Linked DNA regions of Schizosaccharomyces pombe. Changing the gene in region 1 together with any one later gene gives a genetic interaction. Each region holds a gene or a part of one and is shown on either strand. Other genes may lie near its edges.

What was found.
Region 2: of cbh1 (region 1) and sap1, a mutation in one rescues a mutant of the other (synthetic rescue), as found in Schizosaccharomyces pombe (one study listed by BioGRID).

The regions. Positions count from the first base shown.
Region 1 is NC_003424.3:4,458,149-4,462,902, forward strand, and holds cbh1 (CENP-B protein 1), read right to left. Parts: upstream 2,731-4,754; 5' UTR 2,622-2,730; coding exon 1,077-2,621; 3' UTR 772-1,076; downstream 1-771. Other genes in the region: pyridoxal reductase Plr1, read left to right, coding at 3,636-4,637. UniProt on the Schizosaccharomyces pombe protein: Binds to centromeric K-type repeat DNA and ARS3002 DNA. The CBH-binding consensus sequence is Py-Pu-A-T-A-T-Py-Pu-T-A.
Region 2 is NC_003421.2:560,966-565,966, reverse strand, and holds sap1 (switch-activating protein Sap1), read left to right. Parts: upstream 1-2,200; 5' UTR 2,201-2,849; coding exon 2,850-3,614; 3' UTR 3,615-4,391; downstream 4,392-5,001. Other genes in the region: gud1 (guanine deaminase), read left to right, coding at 1-76; SPOM_SPCC1672.01 (histidinol-phosphatase), read right to left, coding at 4,690-5,001. UniProt on the Schizosaccharomyces pombe protein: Binds to sequences required for mating-type switching. Makes a simultaneous contact with both the alpha and beta domains of the switch-activating site SAS1.

The DNA.
Region 1 (4,754 bases):
TTTAATTTTTTTGTTTCTCCAATTTACTTTTTTAATAACCCATATTATTACTCATCACATTATTGTATTGTTGTTTTAAGCATGCCATTTTTTCGTACTGGAGCGCGTTAAAGATCTGATAAGCAAAACTTTCAAGATTTAAGAAGATATGTATATATACTTTAAGATCACCATAGCTAGTGTGGATCATTCTAGTGTGTATTTTAAAAATGGCATATTCCATTTTGTTTACTCTACTTTCAAATTTTTTTTTTTTTAAAGTGGGTCATCACTACAGAAATTATTCAATGAAATATATCTTCTGTTTTGTAGCTCAATGAAAACTCATAATTATATAAACATATTTCCTTAAATTCCACACTCCAGTTGCCTCATATCCATAATGTGATTTTTTTATGTCTTGTTTTGGTAAAATCTCTGATTGTGTGTGGCTTTTTTACCTAGCTATTAAAATTAATGGTTCGGTTTTCAGATTCGGACTTAAAGTCATATCAAAACCCCTACCCATTTTTCTAGCATTTCCAATAGTGGTTTACCAGCGCAACAACTCAAACAGCATCTCACTCACAAAACCATATGATCATTCATCATCTATAGCATTTAAATTAAATTAAATTAAATTAAATTATTAAAGCATCATTGCTTAATGCTTTATTTTTCATTTGCGCGCTAACTGATTTTTATTTATTAATTGTTCTCACTGCTTCTCTATATCTCTGTCTTGCATACAACAAAGGAAAACACAATGTGACACAGTTTATACAAAAAAAATCATTAATAATTCATAATATCATTAGAATCCTATAAAATGTTTTGTTGTTCAGGTATATGTACACACACTAAGTGAATTTAAAAGAATATTAAACGAGAAGGGTTCAAAGCCGCCCGCCATAGTTAACCAAAAGTAAGCAGAAACATTAATCTCAATTAAAAAAAGTAATTTTGTACGAGTGTCGACTTTTGTTTCACTATATTTTTTTTTTGGAAATTTGTTTGCTTTGGAGATTGAAATCATCCAACGTGAAGCACTTATTGGGTTTAGTAAGACTCGCTCTCAATTTATTTCCGTAAGTGGATCACGCTATTAAATTATTAGGGGCAATCACTCTTTGTCTGCGGTACAAATCTAAAACAAACGAGGGATCCCCATTTTCGTGTTGCTCAAAATATTTTATTAAGACTTCAAAGGCCATGGCAGCCTCCACGTTTGATATTTGAGGCTCCACGTCTTCTTCCTCATCCGACTCAAAGCGTCTCTCCTCCAGAAACTCTGCAGCAACGGTATCCACAGCATCTTGATGTAATTTGGTTTCATCTTCTTCAGAAGGTCTAATGTATTCATTAATTTGCTTAACAGCTTCGCTGCCCTTGCTTGAAATCAGATTACCAATTTCCATAATGGCCTTTTGATACGACTCCATTCCTTGTCCTTCGGCCTCGGAATGTGGACCCAATAATCCTGATCGGAGAAAAGATGCTTGAATAGTCTTTTCACTCACCCCAAAATTCCAAGACCAAAGCATCCACCGAATGGCTTTTAAAACATTAACGGCTTTTAGAGGATCTCTCAATATGTTGATTTGATTAAGGGAGTATTGCAACCAGTATCTTCGATAATTCGCTTTAAATGTATCGACTATTCCTTGTTCAAACGGAGACTTAATGTCCAATGTTTTTTCTGGAATTCGAAATACAGAGGTGTTCTGAAAACCACCTTTAAACCGTCGAACACTTTCAACACCGAACTGATATGTGTCATTGCTCTCTAACATCAATAGGACCTTGCGTCCTTGCATACGTGTGTCAAACCACCGAAGCCATTCCTCCATAATAATTGGTGAAATTGAAGCTCGGCCATTCCACTTCCATTCGAAGTTCATACTTTTAGGGAAAATACCGCACTGCTCAAAAGATCTTGGGTTTTGTGCATAACCCACGATCCATAAAGGTAGTCGTTCTGACCCATCGGCATTGCAACACATAATTAAAGACACTTTGGCTTTTCCACGCTTCATTCCCTGGATTTCCTGATAATCCAAGTTTTGTTTATTAGGAGTGAGTTTCCAAAAAAGGCTTGTCCCTCCAACGCAAAATATATCTTTTTGGGCATAAGGCCGTATAAACTCTTGAATATGAACTGGGTATTCTCTAAACACCTCAAATTTGATGGATTCCAATGCCTGATTTACCGCACTTTGCTGGATATAATGTCTTCTTCTAAATTTATCCAACCAACCATTGCTAAAGTCTGGTAATGGGAGAGAAGCATACGCCGGAATTTTCGACCAAAATCGAGTAGCAGCTTGTTTGATCATATCCCCTGATATAGGAAGGCCTTCAACTTCTCTTTGTTGCAACCATTCGTACACGGCATTGTCAAGCAAAGGAAACTTTGGAGCTCGAATTTTTTTAATATCACCGAGTCTTACACTTCCATCATCTAAATAACTGTATTTGGGTGAAAGAATTTCGGAAATCGTTGACTGCGATAAATCTTTATTGTACGTTTTTCGAAACCATTCTGTCACTTCCTTTTGAGGAATTCTATGGGCAGATTGGTTATAATAATCTCGAATTGCCTTTTTCTCTGCTAAAGAGACGGCCTGGCGTATAGGAGGCATTGATTTTCCTTAATACTTACTATGCCGATACTTTTCCAGACCGATATAAGAGTATAGCCTTGGATTTATACAATTATTTTATGTTGTAGTAGATATCGGAAATAACGGTGAAAAGACGAATTCTATCCTTGTAGGGTTTAAGAAGGTGAGTACTACTAGTGCATCCTTCTGCCTTGCACCCTATATAATCTAAGTGCAATATACCGAACCTATTGTTAATCTGTAATAACAATGCCATTGGAGATGCTCAAATTATGACGTTCAGGTTAATATAGCAAATTTGCGTATCTTAACGATTTTGTCAGTAAGAAAAAGAGAATTCAAGAGCAAAAAATAGGAGAAAGAACGACATGAACGCTGTTAGAAACCGTTTAAAATCAATTCTCATATATGTTTTAAATGAGAGTCTAATTGAATACTTCCTCAAATTTCATTTCTGTAGCACACCTCTTCTCACTATTAAACAAAAATGTGTAAATAAATAAATGTTCCTTGGTATTGTAACAAAAATGGCGATTCTGAAGTTCATGAGCATTTTCCCTTCTCTTTCATTTAATAAATTCTCGAATTTTCAAATAACATAATATGTAAGTTCTCAGTTTTGGTGTAATTACTTTTAATTCCAATATTTCCATTCATAGTTCAATTCATAATACTTACTATCAAGTCTATTTCAATAATGTATGTTACACGTGTGATCCAATGTTTAAAAATGTAGAAGTAAATTTATAAAAGCAAAGCCAAAAATAAAGAACAAAGCTGTTTAAGCTAGTTACGGTACGAAGAGTAGGTGTTACTTACGTTTGATTCATTATTATTAACAGTAGAACTAATTAGTAAGCATCGTCTCAAAGAACCATTAGGAAATTCTTACAGCATACGGTACCGTTATCATATAAATAGCAAGCTTTGCATACCTAGCAGCTTAGTTTTTCCAATATTATTCGCTTAAAATTGAGAATACACATTTGATATTTACAGAGTTAAGCATTTTTAAATTAAAGTTGTGAAAAGATGCCTATCGTTAGCGGATTTAAAGTCGGACCTATTGGCTTTGGTCTTATGGGTTTAACCTGGAAGCCCAAGCAAACTCCAGATGAAGAAGCCTTTGAAGTAATGAATTATGCCTTATCCCAAGGCTCCAATTATTGGGATGCGGGTGAATTTTATGGTGTCGACCCTCCCACCTCTAATTTAGATTTATTAGCTAGATATTTTGAAAAATATCCCGAAAACGCTAATAAGGTGTTTTTATCTGTCAAAGGTGGTTTGGATTTTAAAACACTAGTTCCTGATGGAAATCCGGACTTCGTGTCAAAGAGTGTTGAAAATGTGATAGCTCATTTACGTGGGACCAAAAAGCTAGATCTCTTCCAATGTGCTCGAGTCGACCCAAATGTTCCCATTGAGACAACCATGAAGACATTGAAGGGGTTTGTGGACTCTGGAAAGATTTCATGTGTCGGCCTTAGCGAAGTTTCTGCTGAAACTATCAAACGTGCTCACGCTGTGGTCCCCATTGCTGCAGTCGAAGTCGAATACTCCTTGTTTTCTCGTGATATCGAGACAAACGGTATTATGGATATTTGTAGGAAGTTATCTATCCCTATTATTGCATACTCTCCTTTCTGTCGTGGCCTTTTGACTGGTCGCATTAAGACTGTCGAAGACCTTAAAGAATTTGCTAAATCTTTCCCATTCTTAGAATATTTGGACAGATTTAGCCCTGATGTTTTTGCTAAAAATCTTCCATTCCTCCAAGCTGTCGAGCAACTTGCTAAAAAGTTTGGTATGACTATGCCCGAGTTTTCACTTCTTTTTATAATGGCGTCTGGAAACGGTCTGGTCATTCCTATTCCTGGCTCCACATCTGTTTCTCGTACAAAGAGCAATCTCAATGCACTGAATAAATCTTTGTCTCCTGAACAATTTAAAGAGGCCAAAGAGGTCTTGAGTAAATACCCAATCTACGGGTTACGTTATAATGAACAGCTTGCGGGCACTCTTTCCGTTTAAAGTGCTGAAGTTAGTCGATACTCTTTCGCATTTCAGTTTTGAAATGCATATTAAATATAAACTTATTATATGCTAGCCTTACTTAGGTATTCAGTAATGACAATTTATTTACAGCGA
Region 2 (5,001 bases), on another chromosome or scaffold:
TCGTACAGAAAACTGCAAAGGTGCATACCCGGCAAACGCAACGGTGACGGTAGAGGAGGATAGTGGGATGTCTTGAGCTTGGAGAAATCTGAGTGATGAGAAGGCAGATGGATTGTATGTGTGTGTGAAGAGCACGCATTGTGTTGGAGCACGTTTGTTAGAGTACGCTTTGCGTTAGAAGCATGTCTTGTGTTGGAAGCACGCTTTGTTGTATTTTTGGTTCATGATCGTTTAACGAAATAAGATAGAAATATTAAATGTGCAAGCAGCAGAAAGATTGTAATGTTAAAGTGGAAAAGAGCCAAGTAGAGATATTGTAGAGGATACGATGTGTTTGATAGGGCGGAATTTTGTATATACTGTTTTTTCAGGTAGAATACAGGGAAAATGCTGAAGCGACGTTTGCAGTGTTGAAGAGATGACAAATACAAGACCTTTACAAAATGCATTCTAGTTTGATTTTTTTTTTTTTTTATAAAGTGAATTTTTTCAAGATTTTATTTTCCTAATTTTATTTTCCTAATTTTATTTTTTATATTTTTAATTATCAATTTTATTTTTATTTTATTTTTTTTATTTTCTATTTATTTTTTTATTTTGCATTGCTCATTCTTTCACCCAGAGTAATCACTAAATTAGTCTTTGTTTACAACAATTTGAACAAACAAGTAAATAAATGAAAATAATATTGTTGTCAGACAAAAAACAAGTTAAAATTAAATAAATAGAAAACTTGTGGCTCATTTGATTCTTAGTTATTCTTTGTTTACCTGCGAATTGTTTTTTATTACAATACCCAACAAGTGTTTTCATGTAAATCATTTCACACTCTGTATATTTTACTTTACATATATATATGTGTGCGAGTTGAATCATTTAGTTTCTATCAAAACTCTTTCTACTGCTCTCCCTCTAGATTCTTAATCGGTTTACTGACTCTTTCCAAGTTCTTAATTTTTTACTGCACTTTTTTTATAGTCTTATTTATTTTTAGTATACTCTTTCTAAAGCCTTATTCGGGTTACTGCCTCTCTATGTCGTCTTTTACTGTCTCTCCCTCTACATCCCTATTCATTTACTGCACTCCTTCCTACTCTCTTTTTCGTTTGCTTCCCCCTCCAAGTTTTGTTTCGTTGCAACAAGGTAGAAACAATTCGAATGGTACCAACAATTCTAGCAATCCATACAGACTCAACACCATACATTTCAAGGGTCGACCTCAGATTACTCAATGAAACTCTTGAAAATCAGAATGATCAACCAATATTCATAAATGCTTACAGCAACTTTTGTCGATTGCTAGCAATGATGCATTTAGGTGAAACAAAGTGTGGTCTAACAATGTTTAAATAAAAGAAAAGAAAGGAAAGAAAAGAAAGAAAAAAATAAAAAAAATACTTGATCTTGATTGTATTTTTATTTTCTTTTCTTTTATTTATTCTATTATTTCTCTTTCTTTTTCTCTGCTATAAAAGTGGCGACCATACTGCAATCGAATGAATGTCCACACTGCAAAAAGTGTATGGAAGAAAGCCCTAGAGTAGAAAAGGAAAGAGAAAAGCGCACAATAAGGAATGTTAAGAATAAGAAAAAAAAAGTTTCAACATACTTTATTTTAATTATTATACTGTGGTTTATTTCCTTATTCCAATTACAACAATGTAATTTACATGCTTATTCTAATTACTACAAAGTGATTTTTATCCTTATTCTAATTACTACACTTGATTCACTTCCTTATTCCAATTACAACGCTATGATTCATCTCCTTATCTCCTCTAATACCCTCCCTCTCCCTCCTTGCTTTACTCTGCGGGCATCCCTCTTCCCCCCCTTCATCACTCCCCTAACCCACTGGAACGTTGGGTTTGTTCGTTTGTGCAATCTTTTCTTATCTTCACATTTCCACCCACTCTTCCATCTCACTAATTCCGCTCCTGGGAGCCGGCAAATCAGCACCTCCTTATCCAATAATACGCAATCCACATGACGCCACCATCGTTGCTAGTCTTTCCATTCTCATCGCTATCGCACGTTCCAGATGTGGCGCCCCTCCTTATTCCTCGCTTTCATTGGCTCTCTCCCCATCCCTCGTTGTGACCGTTTACCAGCGATACCGTATGTCATCATTACCGACCGTGCCTGCGTTTTGGTGGCACTCGATCTTATTTACCTCGCTGCGCATCCCAACGAACGCTTTACCAACACCTCCAACACACTCTCCATCGTATTGCAGTGTCGTGTAGGACTTGCCTTCGTTCAGATCCTTAAATAATTTCATTCAAAATCGGTTTGCATTGCTTTCCTCTGTTTTGCTTTGCCCTGCCTTTGTTGGAAAACCTCTCTTACCTCTTCTACTTGTGTTGACTCACCAGTCAGATCAGCTTGGCTCTACTTGTCTACGACTGGAAGCGTCTTTTCACCTCTACTACAAACTTCTATTCTACTATATACTCTTCTCCTGTTTTGCTTTGCTTTGTTTTCTTTTGCTTAGCTTAGCTTAACTTGACTCGACTCGACTCTGTTTTTTTACCTTGCTTTTATACTGTTCGTCTAGTACATAGTATACTTACTATCTTGTTAGTTCCTCCTATACGATTCGATTGCTTTTCCATCTCGTCTCGTTTTTCTCCTCCTCTCACTTAGCTTTTCTTCTATAAAAGGTCGATTTTCATCCTTCTCCTTTTATATCCAAAGCAAAAGCTTTCTGCGACAACTTTTCCTTTCCTTTCCTTTTCTCTTTTTTTTTTTTAACTATACACCACTCTTCCCCTAGCGGCAATTTGGATTTCGGACAATCGAATCCAAATTCCACCTATAAATTATTCAAGACGGATCCCCTATTTTCTATGGAAGCTCCCAAGATGGAACTGAAGAGCTATAAACGAAAGAATGCTTCGTTATCTCCCAGTTCCTCTCCCGCCAAGGCACAGCGTACTCACTTGTCCTTGGAGGAAAAAATCAAGCTCATGCGCTTAGTCGTGCGTCACAAGCACGAACTCGTCGACCGTAAAACTAGTGAGTTTTACGCCAAGATCGCCCGTATCGGTTATGAGGACGAGGGCCTCGCTATTCATACCGAGTCCGCCTGTCGCAATCAAATCATCTCCATCATGCGCGTCTACGAACAGCGTTTGGCCCATCGTCAACCCGGCATGAAGACCACTCCCGAAGAGGATGAGCTCGACCAACTTTGCGATGAATGGAAGGCCCGTCTCAGCGAGCTCCAACAGTATCGCGAAAAATTCTTGGTTGGCAAGCGCAAGTGTGATTGCAATGATGAAATTAATGAACGTCTCAAGAAGCTCACTGAAGAGCAACAAAACGTCGACATGCTTGTCGCCAAGGTCAACTTTCTCTCCAAACATCTTCACGATAATGAGGAAAAATTAATGCAGGTAAATGCTAAAATGGATGAAGTTCTTGCCGAAAATAAGCGCCTTCAACAACTTCTCGATCATAACGATTTGTTGTCCAAGCTCGAGCCTCCCTCTGCTTACGCTCCCCATGGCGTTAACATGGGCACTAATATGGGTGCCAACATGGGCGCTAATATGAATGCCATTCGTGGCGGTCTCCATTCTAGCATCTCTCCTAATCTTGGTGACCATTAATCCCAACTTTTCCGCCCATCCTCCTCCTACCTGTGAACACACAACCTCTTTTCTTCGAGAATTTCGTTCTCAATCCTTGTTTAACTTATGTTGAGCGGTTGAATATAAATTTTTTTTCTTCTTTACTTTTGACTGACGGTCTGCTTGATGTAAATATCTTTCATTTCTCCCTCTTCCTAGTTGTGTGCAAGGCGAATCATTCGGTAAAGCTGGTTACTTCCTTCCTCGTAGGTATCTTTGCCCCTTTCCAAATAAAAAGGCAACGAAGCCTTTCTGTATGTGCGCTAGTTGGGTTGCTTCTATTTTCTCCGCATTTTCTTGTCTCTTCCGTTATTAAACTAATATTGATTTTTTTTTCTTTCAATCCGGACATATTAAATTCTTTGTTTTTTTTTATTTTTTGTCCTCCTTCAAACAGTTTCGGTGATTGCTTTGTTTTCGCTTTCCACCGCTATTTGCCTTTGCCCTCTTTCCCTTTCGCACTAATTCGTTGTCCTTTTTGCTTTCGTGCTTTATCCCAATTTCGTACGACTATCGTTCTTCCCTTCAAACAAGCTTGAAACAGGTACTGTCATATGTTTTGCAAGCAATCCTCCTTGCACTTTCGGTTGAAGCTTGACGAAAGCCCAATGGTCCCACCCATGCTTTGCTTGTAACGTCACATCATGGTTATCTCTTATTTAGAATAGTTTTTTCCCTTAAATTGGTTTCAGTAGTGTTGGCCATTAGTCGGCCTACTCAATTGAGTTAATGTACAATTAATACAATTTTAAGCGACAGAAATCTATGTATCGTAGCAATCGATAGTTCATGTGCAAGTGGAACAAATATTGAGACATCGTAGTACTCGTGTAAAACAAACAGTCTTGTTAAACGGGAGCTCCTCATAAATGGGATCATCATCCACCACAACAAAAGCTTTGCCGGCCATTTCATACGAAGTGATTGAAATATGGTGAATAGCTAGTTACTATACTTCAGGTGACCAAACAGTGTACTTTTGAATTTCCCTTGTAAAAAAATTTCAAGTCCAAAAATGGCCCCAATACGGAAACAAATTTAAACTGTATTACTTCTATGTGTTAGTTATTCCGTTTGTGCCAACGAATTTAGACCAAACATTGTCGACCGTAACATTTTTAACCACCGTGCCATTACCATCGGGGCCCTTTTCTATCATACAGAGGCTTGTAATACCGCATTTGTCCAGATACGACTTGGCCAAATGATAATTCAAGCCAACTTGATGTGGTCCATGACTATCGTCAGATAAAGTGAGTTGCGCTCCTTGTTCAACCATCAGCTCAAGAAGTCGTTGCTGAGGATACGCAGTCTTCCATCCTTTGCGAAATGCAGAGGTGTTAATTTCAAAGATACCACCATAAGA